Tamandua tetradactyla: one gene and its partner. The protein of the gene in region 2 interacts with the protein of the main gene of each other region in a biochemical or structural test. Links are inferred from orthologs where the notes say so. Each region holds a gene or a part of one and is shown on either strand. Other genes may lie near its edges.

The links. The genes of interacting proteins can lie anywhere in the genome.
Region 1: the proteins of ETS2 (region 2) and ZMYND11 form a complex in vitro, tested with the Homo sapiens proteins (2 studies listed by BioGRID). The link is inferred for Tamandua tetradactyla from reciprocal best matches to the Homo sapiens genes ETS2 and ZMYND11.

The regions. Positions count from the first base shown.
Region 1 is NC_135327.1:206,533,866-206,540,690, forward strand, and holds the start of ZMYND11 (zinc finger MYND domain-containing protein 11), read left to right. Parts: upstream 1-3,806; 5' UTR 3,807-4,044; intron 4,045-4,593; exon of another isoform or gene 4,594-4,649; intron 4,650-5,828; exon of another isoform or gene 5,829-6,206; intron 6,207-6,825. UniProt on the Homo sapiens protein: Chromatin reader that specifically recognizes and binds histone H3.3 trimethylated at 'Lys-36' (H3.3K36me3) and regulates RNA polymerase II elongation. Does not bind other histone H3 subtypes (H3.1 or H3.2).
Region 2 is NC_135336.1:103,035,251-103,042,803, reverse strand, and holds the start of ETS2 (protein C-ets-2), read left to right. Parts: upstream 1-4,541; 5' UTR 4,542-4,608; intron 4,609-7,553. UniProt on the Homo sapiens protein: Transcription factor activating transcription. Binds specifically the DNA GGAA/T core motif (Ets-binding site or EBS) in gene promoters and stimulates transcription.

The DNA of each region.
Region 1 (6,825 bases), on a different chromosome or scaffold from region 2:
AAACTTTTCCTTCCACTATTCATGGGCAGAGAGAAAATCACATGACTCTTGTCAGTACTTGGGCAATTTGCATTTACAGAAAACTTACTCCATTCCATCCCTGAATTACTAGCATAAGTATAAGGTGATCCAATTAACAAGTAGTTTTAATTAATGTGTGTTAAGAAGGACTGCAATACCTGAATGACAGAGCTATGGGGGTATTGGTATTAAGATTATATATATATATAAATTATATATATATGTATATATATATAATTTAGTTATGTAAAACAACACCACACTAAAATCTTGACTTTAGTCAAGATCAGTCTTTAGTCAAGATTTGCTTTCAAATCTTGCTGCTTTGCTTTCAAATGAGATCATCAATTTTATCTGTGGCACTTTTTCATTTAACCATATATATGTTAAAGGAAATATTTATATTCCCAGAGTACGCCATGGAGAACAAATCCTCTCGTCAGACTATAAACACCAAGGTAAATATATCATTACAAATTATCCTGTCTTATGGAAAAAAACCCACAGGGAACACGTAAATTAGATTGGGGGTTCAGGAAGGTTCTTTAGGAAAAGCATACCTTGAATAGAACTGGAGGATGGGGAGCATTAGTCCTGGGAAGATGGGGGAAGACTATTTCTGAAGGAGGGGATAACACCATATGACGTCCTGAGATGGGAAAAAAGGTCAGTGGTGTACTGAGTGATGAGGTCAGGAGATGGGCAGGGGCTAAATGATGCTGGACTTCATAAGTCAAGGAATGGCGTTTGGATTTTATCCTAAATGCAGTAGAAAAAGCGTTGAAGGGTTGTAAGTTGGAAAGTAACATCAGCACTCTTGTCCATATATTTTGGCCTGTGTTTCAGAATGTATCTTTAGGATAGATATTTAAATAAGGACTTCCTGAGCCAAAGATATGAATATTTTTAAGGCTCTTGGTATTTCAAGATAGTTCTTACCCATTCAATTTTATACCAATTGTTTATGAGAGAGTGCCCATTTCACCAACCCTCAATAGCGTTAGCACTGACAAAAATTCTGCCATTTGAAGAAAAGTGTGTCACATTGTTTTAATTTATCATTTTATTACAGGTAAATTTGAATATTTTTCATTATTTATTTATATTTTATAGTTCTTTTATATTATTATCCATGATCCATGTTTGTTTGGTTTGGTTTTCTTTTTAGATGATGGAGCTCATCTTATGATGTCAATTAGCTTTATATATTTAAAGAATATTACCCTGAGTCTTACGTTTTGCAGATATCTCCTCCTAGTTTACCTTTTAATTTGTATGATTTTTCCCAATCTTACAAGGATAATTTGTTATTGAAAAAACATTCTTAGATTTGAAAATTTAATATTACTTTAAATTAGAAAAAAAAATGCCAAGCATTCCTGGGCCCCCATTAATGTAAAACAAGTCCCACTGAAATGGACCTGTATAGGTCACTAGTTTACATTAGTTATCATAACACAGTGTAACATTTTATGTTCACTAATTCTTGATGTTTTTTTCATAGTTATTTTACACCATATATTTCTGACTATGTTCTCAAACAAAATATGCGTATAATACTGAAAATGTTTTTGAAAAATGGCTAGATTTTACAATTATATTCCTTAAGTCACTAGGAATTTTTTTTAAGCGTATAGTGTAAGGTAAGTATATAATTTGATTTATTTTTCAAGGGCAAAAATTTCCACCTACGTCTAATAATCCATTTGTATTATATGCCACAAAGCAGAATCTAGAAAAAAAGTGATACCTGATCAAACCAGTATTAGTTGAGTATAGACTGTTGTAGCTGAGAAGAAGGAATCAAGAGGACCAGGTGTGGGATTCTTCCTTTAGGTGGTGCTAAGTCTCTAAAACATGTCTGAGTTGAGACAAACTATTTCTTGTCCCTACTCTTTTTTTCTTTCTTTACCCTCTCCCTCTCTTCACCATTTAGTAGATAATGTTATAACTTAGATTGCATGGAAATAACTATTCTGGTCTTCTGGACCTCCTCCTGAATCCCCACCTCTGAATCACTGCCCCCCACCCCCATCCCACAATATACACATATTCACTCAGCTGAGGGACAAATGAGGTAAATAAATTTATTCTGAAGAGAAAATAGAGTCAAGAGTTAAATTCTAGGCAAAAACAACAGGAAATTCAGGGATAAGTTATCTAAAATATATTCGATAGATGAGAGATGTCTGGTTATAAAAATGGTAATAATGTCTACAAAATATGATTGGGTAGAAATGTGGTGTCATGCAGCATCTTTTTTCCTAAAAGGTAAGCTTCCACTTATACATGTATAACATTATCTCACTTGAGTGATACCTGTGAAATATATAGAACCATATAGTCCCTCTATTTTACAGCTTAAGTAACAGACTTTTTTTTTTTTAAGGTGATTTACTTAAAGCTATTCACTGTTGGAATTCCTGGTGTAGCATTCAAACCAAGTATGGCTTTTTTTTTTTTTCTGATATAATCTAACCCCTCTGCTGAATTCTAATGGAATATATTTATCCTTAAAGGAAAATGAATCTATTTTGTGATGTACCTTAAGAAAACCAAAAACTCTCTGGGATGTATCAGAGATGTGAACAGTTAAAGTTTATGCTTCTTCAACATTCAGAATATAAAGTCATCAATGGTGTAAACCATAGACCACCTAGTCAAGGACAACCTATCTGTAATTTCTAACTCAGTCTTAGAGACCAGTTATGAAAGCAGATGGATCAACTGGATTCGAATCCCCAAATTTCTGGGATAGTCTCATCCCAAGGATTTCCAGGTACATGTATCCAATGAGAATCACAGTAAGAAATTTGGACTGATAGGTCTTCCTTCCAAATTCCAAGTGGAGAAAGGCCATTAGGAAAATATATGAAATCTATAAAAGTATACTTATCACCCAGACTTTTTTAAACCATGTATTGGGACCTTCTCTGGTTAGATCTAGAATCCCAAAGTGTAAAAATAGCCTTACTTCTCACACAAATTTGTTGTGTTCTTGCCAAATTGATAGCGGGCGGACCTTTTTATTTTGAAATCATGTTTGCGTGTCTATGGAATGAGAAATTCAGTACATCCCTGCAATCTTTTTGATGATAGGATAAAAAAGATAGTAAAACTATTTACCAATTTTATTTCAAAAACCAGTGTTTCCTAAAGGCTCTGTAATTCCATGTAATATAAACTACATAACAGGGACATCCCATATGAAAACAAATCTTGGCTGACAGATGCATACATCCCCTTACTGTCAATGCCTAACAATGATATGAGTGCTTAAATCTTTGTGTGTACTGCTTTTACTCAAGCGTGCCTGTATGTATCTTTGACGTAGGTATTGTTACAAAATGGCATTTGTGGATATATAAGAATATGCTGAAACAAATTTTGGACAGAGGCGCCAAAGAAAGGAAGGAAGGGAACGTAGGTGTGACTAAATATAAATAAATGTATTTATATTATTTGTACAATATGAATGTACACTAAAAAAAAAAAGCCTTTTAGCAGAAAGAAGCAAGTCCGGCCACTGCCGCTAGAGTTCTCCTTTTGCCCACGCTCCCTACTCCTCCTCGCTCCATCTGAAACCCTGTTTACCCCAGAAACCTGAACTGTGTGGACAGACAGAGGAAGGGAAGGAAAAAAAATCAGACACAATAAAACTCTGAGGGGGAGAGAAAAAGAGAGGCAGAGGGAGTGAGCGTGTGTGTGTGTGTGTGTGTGTGTGTGTGTGTGTGTGTGTGTGTGTGTGGTGGGGGGGGTGGCGAGAAGAGAAAGAGAAGGGGGAAAAGAGGAGGGGATTAAAAAAAAAAAAAGCCCACACACTCAACAACCAACATGTGAAGCGGGAGGCAGCGGCCTCGGGAAGGGACTGCAAACTTTCCCCAGGCAGGCTGCCGGCGCCCTCCAACTTCTTCCACTAAGCGCGCGCGGCCCCTCTCCCTCGCTCCCGCGCCGCGCCGCCTGCTCGCGGTTCCAGACCGGCCCGCCGCGCCGCCGCCGCCGCAGCATCGGCGAGGAGAGACGGTAAGTGGGGAAGGCGCGGGCGGGTGGACTGCGGGCCGAGGCCGGCGGGGCACGGCCGGTGCAGCGAGCCCTCGCCGTTCGTCACCCGTGCCGGCATCTTTCTTCCCCGGGGCCGCCGGCCACGCACCCCTTCTCACACACACACACGCACATGCACACGCACACCGGTCCCGGGCCGCCCTTGAACATCTCTATCTTTCCTCGCCTGGTGTCTCCCGTGTGTGTTTTATATGATGGAGGATTATAAACATGGCGCCTCTCAAAACTACCAAATCCTTTTCCAGCAGTCCCATGGCCCGCGGAGCCCGGGCGCGCCGGGGAGGCAGGGCAGCAGAGGGCGGCGGGAGCGGCGGCCCGGGCCGCGCCGGCACCCACCCGCGCCCGCGCCTCGCACCCCGCGCCGCCCCCCGGCTCCCCGCGCGGCCTCCCCCAGCGCGGCCCGGCTGGCTCCAGGCCCCGGGGAGAGGTGGTTGGTGGTTGGGGAAGGAGGGCGGGCGCGGAGAGTCGGTGCCGAGGGGGACGGGGAAGAAGGGGTGGGGGAGGGCGCGGGCGAGGCGGCGGCGGCGGCGGCGGCGGCGGCGGCGGCGAGGAGCCAGAGCATAATGGTGGGGGAAAAGAAATCGGCTTCCGTGGGAGGGGAAGCCCCGGGGCGGCCAGTTGCGCCGGGGGCGAGGGTGTCGGGGCTGCAGCTCGGGGTACGAGGTGGGTGCGGGTAGGGGCTGCTAATGAGTATTAATGGCTATTACGATGACCCCGTATTGTTGTGCCTCTGACCCCCACCCCCACCCCGGGTTGCAGTCTTTTCGGGGTGGCGGTTAGGTGGTGTTGGCTTCGCCACTCGCCTTCTCCCCCGAACGTATATCAAAGTTGCCCGGGGACCTTTGTGTGCTTGGGGTTGGGGGACCCTGCCGGGGACTGGGGTCACCCGGTGCAGGGACCCTCGAGGTGGTCGTCGCCGGCGGGGTTTTGTGAGGGATTGTTGTGGGCGGTGGTGTGTCACTGTCCCGCGACCCCTCTTGCCTTCAAAGGCGCTTGGGAAGAGGCTCCTCGGGAAAACCGCGTAGGGGCCTTGTCGGTGTCGGGGAAGCCGGGGAGTCGCGTGAGGCGGCAGAGCGGCCCCTCGCGCCGCGCCGCCCGCAGCTCTCCCCGCCCGCGGCCCAGGCCTCTCGGGCACACGCCTGCCGGTCCGGGTCCGAAGGGAACGCGGATTTATGTGTGCGGTGAGGGCGGGGAGGTGGGGAAAAGGGGAGGGAAATGAGGGGGTGGTGTAAACGTTTGTCGTCGCGGTTTGTTGTTTGGAGAGTAATGGCAGCGCCGGGCAGGGTTTGTGTACTCCCCCCACCCCCCGAACTGAGACTGGGATTCGGTCTGGTTCTCCCGGGAGCTGGGGGCAAGAATCCCTGGAAAGACCAGGAACAAATAAACGCGAGGTCCTTCCGCAACAGGTTCCTCTCCCCCTCTTTGGTAGCAATTCCTTCATTTGCACACCATCTCCCCAACTTCTCTCCTTCCCCAGTGAATTGTGTTTCTGCGCCTCTCAGTCTAGCCTCAAGGATTTTCCTGAGGAATCTACCACTTTTCTTTCTATTGAGAGCATTGGACAAAAGCTGCTGCTTTTGGAGGAAGCTCATAACAGTCGTGCCTTGTGGTTGTCTAAGTTTCTTTGGGATGAAGTGGGAACTCCTTTAGGAAGGTGTCATCCCGCTTCCCTTGCACCTTCTGGTAGGGATGGGGGCGCGGAGGACCTCGGAGATGTAGTGAGGCAGACCATGAGTCGCGTGGAACATAAAACTTTTATTTACGTTGTTTCCCTTCGAGCTTTTCTCCCTTCTTCTGTGGAGGCACGCTAATTGTATATAATACGCGATTTTATTCATGTGTATTTATGAAGTATGAAACGGCTTTGTGTATTTAAATAAGCAAGCGCTAAATGAATTGGGAAGGTAGTACAAATTGCAAAACATTCCCACAAGGAAAGTCCGTTTTGATAAATGTCTGATGGTGATTTTAGTAAACCACTGCATTCTGTGAGGGAAACTGCTGAAGCAAGTGGCTAGTGGAGTGGAAAAAGCAGTCTCTCTTGAGTTTTTAAAGTCTCCGGGGACTTAACGTGAGGGACTTCGCACTACCTCACTCTTGTCATGCCGAATCCTATAATAAGCCTTGAAGGAAGAATAACTATTAGCTTCGGTTTTATATGGAAGGCAAGAATAATTTTAATAAATTATTAAAAATAATTTTTCTGTTTTTTGAAAGGCTGAAAATAAGCTTTTACTTACATTCTTTTAAACTGAAAAAATGTGGTAGTTTTAGCTTAGTAATTATAGTATGCATAACTTTTTCAGGCCTTTGGATCATTAATTACAATTAATAGTTGGAGGTCACTTACCAGGGAGATAGTCTTAGTTGTACTATAAAGTTTAAATACTTTCTGGTAGGTAGACAAGGTCATTAGTTTTTTCTTTCTAATTTGTACAAGTAGGATATAACATATTTCTGACAGGCATATCAATACCTTTTTTTTTTTTCTAACTGGTGCTGGTTACATTGCAGTCGTTATTTTGGTCAACTCTACTTTAGACCTTGGCCAGGTTAAAGAATCAAAGATGTGAAGATAGGGTTGTGTTACTATGTAGTTATGACAGAACCAATAAAATATTTTTCTTATATAATTCTACCTGTGATGAACAGATAATTTCTGTATTTTAGTTGGTACTTTTTCACGGATATTGTTTATATGAAAATTCAAATATCAGTACCCATGACATCTGTTGTTATTTG
Region 2 (7,553 bases):
AAAGTGGCATGCGAATTAACCTTCCTTTAGTCATTTGCTAGACTGACGGGTTCAATAATGACTAACTCCTACTTTGGGTGAAGACTAGGGGTTCAGTTTTCCAGTTTGCAAGATTAAAAAAGTCCAGGCTCTGTGCATTATGTAGTTCATCACATACTGTGGGAGTCACTTTGTGATTCAGAAAAATCACACCATTATAAAATCACATATTTGCACAGGGCTGACTCACCTTTCAGACACATTTATTTAGGGATTATCAGTTTTACAGAACACAGCGGGTCTCTATGTCTATTTTTGTTGTTCAGACTTGCCTAAAGCATGTCATCATGCCGTTTCCTATCACGGTGGATTTTAAAGGTGGTTTGTACACTCCAAGAATGCTGCCTTATAAGGGAGAGGACAGTGCCAGCAGGTGGCTGGCGGAGCTGGTAGGCAGTGCCAGGAAATAGCCACACAACCACGGGCAAGGAATCGATTCTCCATGGGCCTCAGCTTCCTTCTCTGTAAAAACAGGAGCTGGTCTCTGTTATCAACTCTCTAAGGTGTTTTTCCAGTTTTAAAATTCAGTGTTTCCTTCTCTGGTCTCTTACCAGGGAAAGAAAATTATAGTGAAAGAACCATCACCTCCAATATATGCAGAAGAGTCTAAAATAAAGCAGTGTTCAAAGGATGAGTGAAGAGGATGTAGAAAACCGGCCTCCCCAGGGTCAAGGGAGCCATTGCTTGTTTATCACATACTCAGACTGAACTACGTGCCAGGGGTTTTCCTAGGGTGCTTGAAAAATATTAATTCATTTAATCATCATGACAGCCCTAGGAAAAAAGTACTGATATTATCCAAACTTGACAGATGATGAGCCCTTGGGGCAGATGAGGCTGCCAATAGGCAGAAGGCATTCTAGTGGGACCCGAGGAAAAGTTTTGACCTCCAGGATCATCCCGTATTTGCAATTCTGAGGAAGCACAAAGAAAAGAATAAAAGCTTCCTGCTGCTGCCTGGTTTGATACCTCCCTGTTAGGAGGCTGGCAGGCTGCTGGATTCCTGGCATCTGAGCCCTGCCTGCAAATGGGCAAGAATGGAGGGTCAAGTGGCCAGGATAATAGTTGCACATATATTTGGATTATCAAACTTGTCTTTATCAGTTCCTTGACCCCAACATACATCACTCGAATAAACATTATCCCTGAACACCTCCAAGAGCCTGCAGTGTAAATAGTCTACCTAGAAAACACAGGTGCCAGAATACACAGGAATCAAAAGATTTCTATCTCTAAGGGCATTCTTTGCCTCCCCAGCCCCCTACCCCCAGGATTTTTAAAGTTCCATTATTGTGTGTGAATTTTACCACACTTTGTACTTCATTCTAGTCTGTATCTTCACCTCATCAAGGCCAAGGACCAAACCTTATTCATCTTTGCCTGCCCAGCACCCACCACCATGTTTGCAGAATGAATAAATAAAGGATACATCACAGACCAAATGACGTCTGTTTAACTTGCAACTGGAAACCCCCACGAACTGTGCATCAGCTCCACTGATTTGGATTGCAAGGCAAATAATGGACGCGTTACTAAGAAACGTGTTTTTTAAAATTTATCTTCAAGGATGATTTGGTAAACTTTTTCTGCATTTTACATCTTAGGTATAGAGTATACATGCACTTATGCGTTTCTATCATAATATCCCTTTTCCTCTTTTCTTCATGAGCTTCTCTCTATCTTAAGAGAAAAGAATTAGATGGCTTTTAAATTCAGCTTGATCTAAGTGCATCTGATCATTTCACCCCGGGTGCCTTCTGACTTCTAATTTCCTTCTAATACCTTTAACTTTTGATCTTCAGGTGCAAGTGCTGTACATTTATAAGGTTTAATTGACTGCGAAGCCCAGCGTTCCTTGTGAATCCTGCTATAATAGTCAATGAATAACCACAAGGCTTCAACCAGGCAGGGTTTGAGTTCTGCTAAGTAGCCAGGAAACCAGCTGAAAACAGGAAGGAAATATCAGGAACTCCGATATTGCCCCAGAACTAGTATATGCCATTTTATTAAAGGCGTGGAACCGCCCAGGCATAGAGGGACAGTGGCCGGCCCAGGGCAGGGGGGCTGTTTGGATTAGCCCAGGGCTCCTTGGAAGGTGAAGCAAGCCAGGAGAGGGCCCTGGAGGGAGTCGAGACACCAGGCTTGAGGAGGCGCATGAGGGCGCCGTCATCTACCGGCACTCCCCAGGCACACAGCCCAGCTTACACCCCTCCTGCACCTCTTTGAGCCTGCATTTTGTGATCTGTTTCTGACAGATCCTCTGAGATCTGAGAGGGTCCGGATGGTCTGTTTTATGCATAGGACAGGTGTTTTTTCTAAAGGGTTTTTCATAAAATGCTCCCAGAGGGGAGCTTGGAGGAAAAAACAAACTAGCTCTCATGTTGAACTTTTCTCTACCACATACTACAACACTGATAAATTATTTACAGATTCAGCCTAATGTCAACTGCTCACCCCAGCCTCGTGACATAGGTCTCTAACCACTCACTTATTCTATTGAAGAGAGAACTGACCCTAGAGAAGTAAAATAACTGGTTCGAATAGTCATGAGTTAGCAAGCCGAGGAAGGCCATCTCCAAAGTGCTGTGCTGCTTCTCTCCATCTCTCTGCTCAGATGCTGGAAGAACCCAGCACGGACAAAGCACCTCCTCTCAGCTTCTGTCTGTACCAGTGAAAGCTGTCGCCCCAAAAGTCAGTGCACCTCAACAACTTGGAGAAAGCATGAGAATCCCACAGGCACAGAAGTGGGAGCTGCGGGACAAGGTGGCCCACTTTGGGCAATTGGACTTCATGAAACGCTGGCACACCCAGCTTCTCAGACACTAGCTAGGTGTAAGTGAGTAGTCTGGGGTGGGGGGTGGGACCCCTATATTAGTGAAATCACAGCCCTGATGAGTCAGTGTTTTTCTGCTGTACGTTTTTTTTTTTTTTAAGCAATGCACTCTTCACATCTCCATGGCAACTTACCATGGATCTGTATTCCGTTTATGGAACATCTTGACCTTATCTGCTTTCTGATCCAGGCCATCCAGTCAATTCCGTCACCGAAAAATACCGCTCTCCCCTGCTCCCTGTTGTTCCAGGTGTGCAGACTCTGTCTCTGACACAAGCTCTGCTGATACCTGGAAAGATGTCAGTTAGCCAGCTAACCCCAGATCCAGAGCTGTCATGGAAATCAGGGCCGCTGGATAACACAGAGGCTGGGCTATCCTGTTCACCTCCAGCCCAGTCCTTGAGATGCACTTTCAGCCACAGGCCCTTGCCTGAGCTGGCGGGACTTTTCTGTTTCATACACCAGCAGGAATCAGAACTTTCCTCCACAGCATCGGCAATCTGACCTGGAGCCTAAATAGGAAATCCACACATTGCTAGCCATGGACTCGAGTGCCTTCTGATAAAACATGGAAACCAGCAGCATGAGTGGTGGGTTTGACCACAAAGCTTGGGAGTTAGATAAACTCGGGTTTCAACCCTGAATTTCCCATCTGCCTTTTACAACCCAGCTAGGGATTGCCTCCAAGATTAAAGTCCCCCCACAGGTACAGCGGGGATAAGCAACCCCCACAGGCATTTCAACCAGAATGCTCAGTGAGAGTTCAGGGCTTGATTCAGGCACCGCCCAACTCTAGGGGGCGCCACACACACGGGCGCGCTAAGAATGGGGCTCCCCAGGGTTGTGCAGAGAACATCCACTTTCACGACTCAACTAGGTGACCCCCCAAAAACTGAACATTCATAACCTCATTTGGAGACTTTTCATGAGAGAACTGCCAGAAATCCTTCGTCCCGGAACCGGGCCAGCTCAATCTGCGGCCTCTCCATTCGGGCTGAATTCGACTGCCAAGCTAGGAGCTAAAGCCTTGGGACGGCCGGGGAAAACGGATCCCTCCAAGGAAAGACTCTTGGCCTGACATCCCAGGGCGCGCGCGGGGCCGGGGATCCGAGCCCGGGGTCCAGCTCCAGCCCAGACCCTGCGGCACTGGGACAGCGGGCGCCGGAGAGAGGGCGCCGGGAGGAGCCGGGTGCTGGCCTGCGCTGCACTCCGCCTTTCCTCCCCTCCTCCCCTCCTCCTCCGTCTCCTCCTCCCCTGCCTCTCCTCCCTCTTTCCTCTCCCCTCCTCCACGTCGGCTTCCCCTCCTCCTTTCCCCTCCTCTCTCCTCCTCTCCCCGCCTCTCGGTCCCTCCTCTCCGCTCTCCCCTCCCTTTTCCTCCTCCCCTCCCTCTCTCCCCTCCCTCCTCCCTCCGCCCTCCTCCCCTGGCTCCAGAAGAGCGCGCCGCAAGGGCCACAGGCCGGCTACTTCCTCCAGCCGCGACGCGGAGCGCGGTGTAGACTTAGTCCCAGCCCCAACACCCGCTCGCCCACCCCGGCTCGCGCCCCGGCCTCGCCGAGCGCCCCCACCCGCGCGCGCCAGCCGCCCCCGCCGCCGCGGCCCGGATCCGCCGCGCTCGCCCTCGCCCTCGGCCTTCGCCCAGCACCGGGCGCCCATTGCCCAGCGCGCACCCCGGGAGCCCGCAGGCCCGGAGCAGCCGCAGCCGCCGACTGCGCGCCGGCCCTGCCCGAAGCGGCGCGGTAAGAGCGCGGGGTCCCGGGGCTTGGGCCGGGAGGGACCACCTGCGGGGCCGGGGTCCCAGGGCTCGGGCGGCGAGGGGCTGCCTGCGGGGCGGGGGCGCGGGCCGGAGATCCACACCTCCGACCCCCGTGGCCCGAGGTCTGCGGAGAGCCCCCTCCGGCTCGCCGACTCCTCTCGGTGGTAGGGGGGTTTCAGAAACTGGGCGGGGGTCCGTGGGCAACACCGAGGTCTAGATGCCGGGAGAGCCCGGGGTCAAGGTGGGGGTGGCGGCTGCTCCTCGAATTCGAGGTTCGCGCGTCCGAGCTCCGCTGGGGGCCAGTTTTCCGGGTTCCCGGGTGGCCTTCGGAGTGGAGGGGCCGACGGGGGCCTCCGCGGGCCGGGCGGCCGCTTGTTTCATTTCTCCGGGGCTTTGTTTCTTAGCAGGCGACGCGGGCCTGGTGGGGTTTCTTTACGGGGGTTCTTGTCCTGTGGGTGCCCCGCGGGCTTGATTTCGCGCCGGGGCTTGGGGACGCAGGAGGGAGGGTGGCCGCGGTGGCCGCTAGCGCGCCCCGGGTTTCATGATGTCTTACTAGGGCGCCCTATTGTGTGGAGCGGCGCGGGACCCGGAGGGAGGCTCGTATAAGCCCCCTAGCAGGCTACGGCACCCCGAAATCGTGCCGGAGCCCGGGGCCCGGCTTCCTCTGGCCGCCACGACGCCCACCGGTCACCTGCTCGGCCACGTCCAGGGTCCCGGCGGGGGACGGCGGGCGAGGGAGGTGCCAGAGGGAGTTGGGGTGGGGGTGGCGCCCTCCCGTCCTGCTGTTTGGGCGGGACTCCCGAGGGTGCCCCCTGACTTGTGGATCGGGGCGGGGGGTGGGGGTAGGCTCTTGGTCCTCGGGGGGCGAGCTTGGCAGACGGGGTGGGGGTCCTGTTGGAAACGTGGGTGTGGGTGCGCCGGGCTGCCGTGAGGTTCTCTTTCCTGAAGCGTTTTGAATGAAGGGATAGCTGAGCATTTCTGTGTGTGGGTTTGGGATTGGGGGTTAGCTGGTTTGAGGGCACATGAGGCTTTTTATGTGAGACTGTACTACATTTCAGAGTGCTCTAAGATAGTAACTGACCTGCTTCTTTTTTGGAAAGTAAAGAGGTGAGCTGTCCACCTGGGGGGTGGCAGTAATTTATTTTAATGCACCATTAGGAAGATTGTTCCTTACAATGGAAGTCGGTGTGTTGTCTGCCTGCCCACATCACCAGCCATCACCAAGATAAATCTCCAGGTGAAGATTTATTAAAGTTCTGAGTAATCTCACAGTACAGCAACGTGTGTGTCCCCCTCGGGGAAATATTCAAACGCTCATTTCTGGGCTTAGTCATTCCTCTCTCTAAACTGGTGACTTTCGAAAGCGAAAACAGCAAAGGGGCCTTCCATAGTGGGTTACAGATTTGTTTGTTATTTCCCCGCAATTTTACCTTAATACAAGCCTGCGTTCTAATCTTACGTAACTGATCACTTCTCCCAGTGGGGTGCTGTGGTCAGGCCAGTTCTTGTTTTGAATTTTGACCAATTCTAGCCATTCCATTCTGTCCTTATTCCCCCCACCCCACCCCCTTTTCTTTTTGGTTCAAAAGGAGTGATCCATCCAGCAACACCAGAGGGACCTACATTTGAACTTGATTTATGTGGTGAAACTTGTCACGTTGACAAGCCATGTTGAGGAAAATAAATGAACTTAAATTTGATTAGTGATGTGTCTGCCTGAAACCATTTAGTAGAGCACTTTGATTCTGCATGGTTTTTACAAAACTCATTAAAACCTGGACAACAAAAGAATTCGGCTCTGTAGCTAGCAATTACAGCTCTTTATGTGGGAGTGGTGAGCTGCCTTTCGTCCTGGTATTTGTACACAAGAGCCAGGCAGAGCCCTTCCATTGCCTTCCATGGTCTTTGGTCTCTGGGAAGCTGAAACCCGGAGAAGCAAGCCCACATCCTACAGACCAAACCGGGAACAAGAGCTGTCCTCCCGGACCCTGCGTGGGTACCAGGCAGCACCCAGGGGGTTGCCTTTTGCCCTTCTGCCACAGGTAGCACGCGTGATATCATCCAGCCCAGTGACATCAGGCTCTAAAGTTAAAGAGGATTGCAATCTGGGGACAGGTGTGCGCTGTCTCGGAGTGAGGCCGGGGGCGGGCGAAGGGGCTCTTCCTGACACGGGGGAGGCAGCTCAGGACTCAGGGTCACGCACAAATGTGCAGATAAGATTTGGGGTCCTCCCTGCCCCTCGGTGACCCCGGAGTATCTCTGGGATCCGGGACGAGTTCGTGGACGCTGCTGCCTCAAGGCGAGATGGGCTTGCATCTGCCTCTGGCGTGTTGGGGAGGTTTAGGAGGTAGGGACGTGCTTGGCCCTAGCAGGCCGCTGAGTCTGCATTCTGCCAGCGGGCGTCGCCAGCAGCGGGGAACACTGATACTTGAGTCCCTGTGGGTGATAAATTCAACCGAGAAGAGCTTCTGAGCAGAGGAAGTAGACCCAGGAACCCCTCCCCCAAGCCCCACCCAGAGAGCTGTTTATTATCAGTAATCTAATTACCTATAATCCCAGGGTTTTAGCAGCTCTTTCTGAAGCCTCTCGCCTCCTCCCACACTGCCATGTTAGCCTAGGGGTGTGCGTGTGTATGTTGTGTGTGTGTTTGTGTGTGCACCCCGTGGGTGGCGGGGTCTTTGGGAAGTCTGGTTTAACTGCAAATACTGACCATAAAGAGACAACAGGAAAGCACAAACAGAATTAGTTATGTGCAAATATGCAATTTGCTATCTCCAGTAAGTTGAGCAAATTCCACAGTATTTTTATTACTCTGAGCTCTTGGTTGTAACAGGTGGGAGCATACAATGGAGAACACAGGGTAGGGCGAAGGTATGAGGGGTGCCCCGTTTATGGCTTTGGGGTGCCTCCATATGGCTTCAGGGTGCC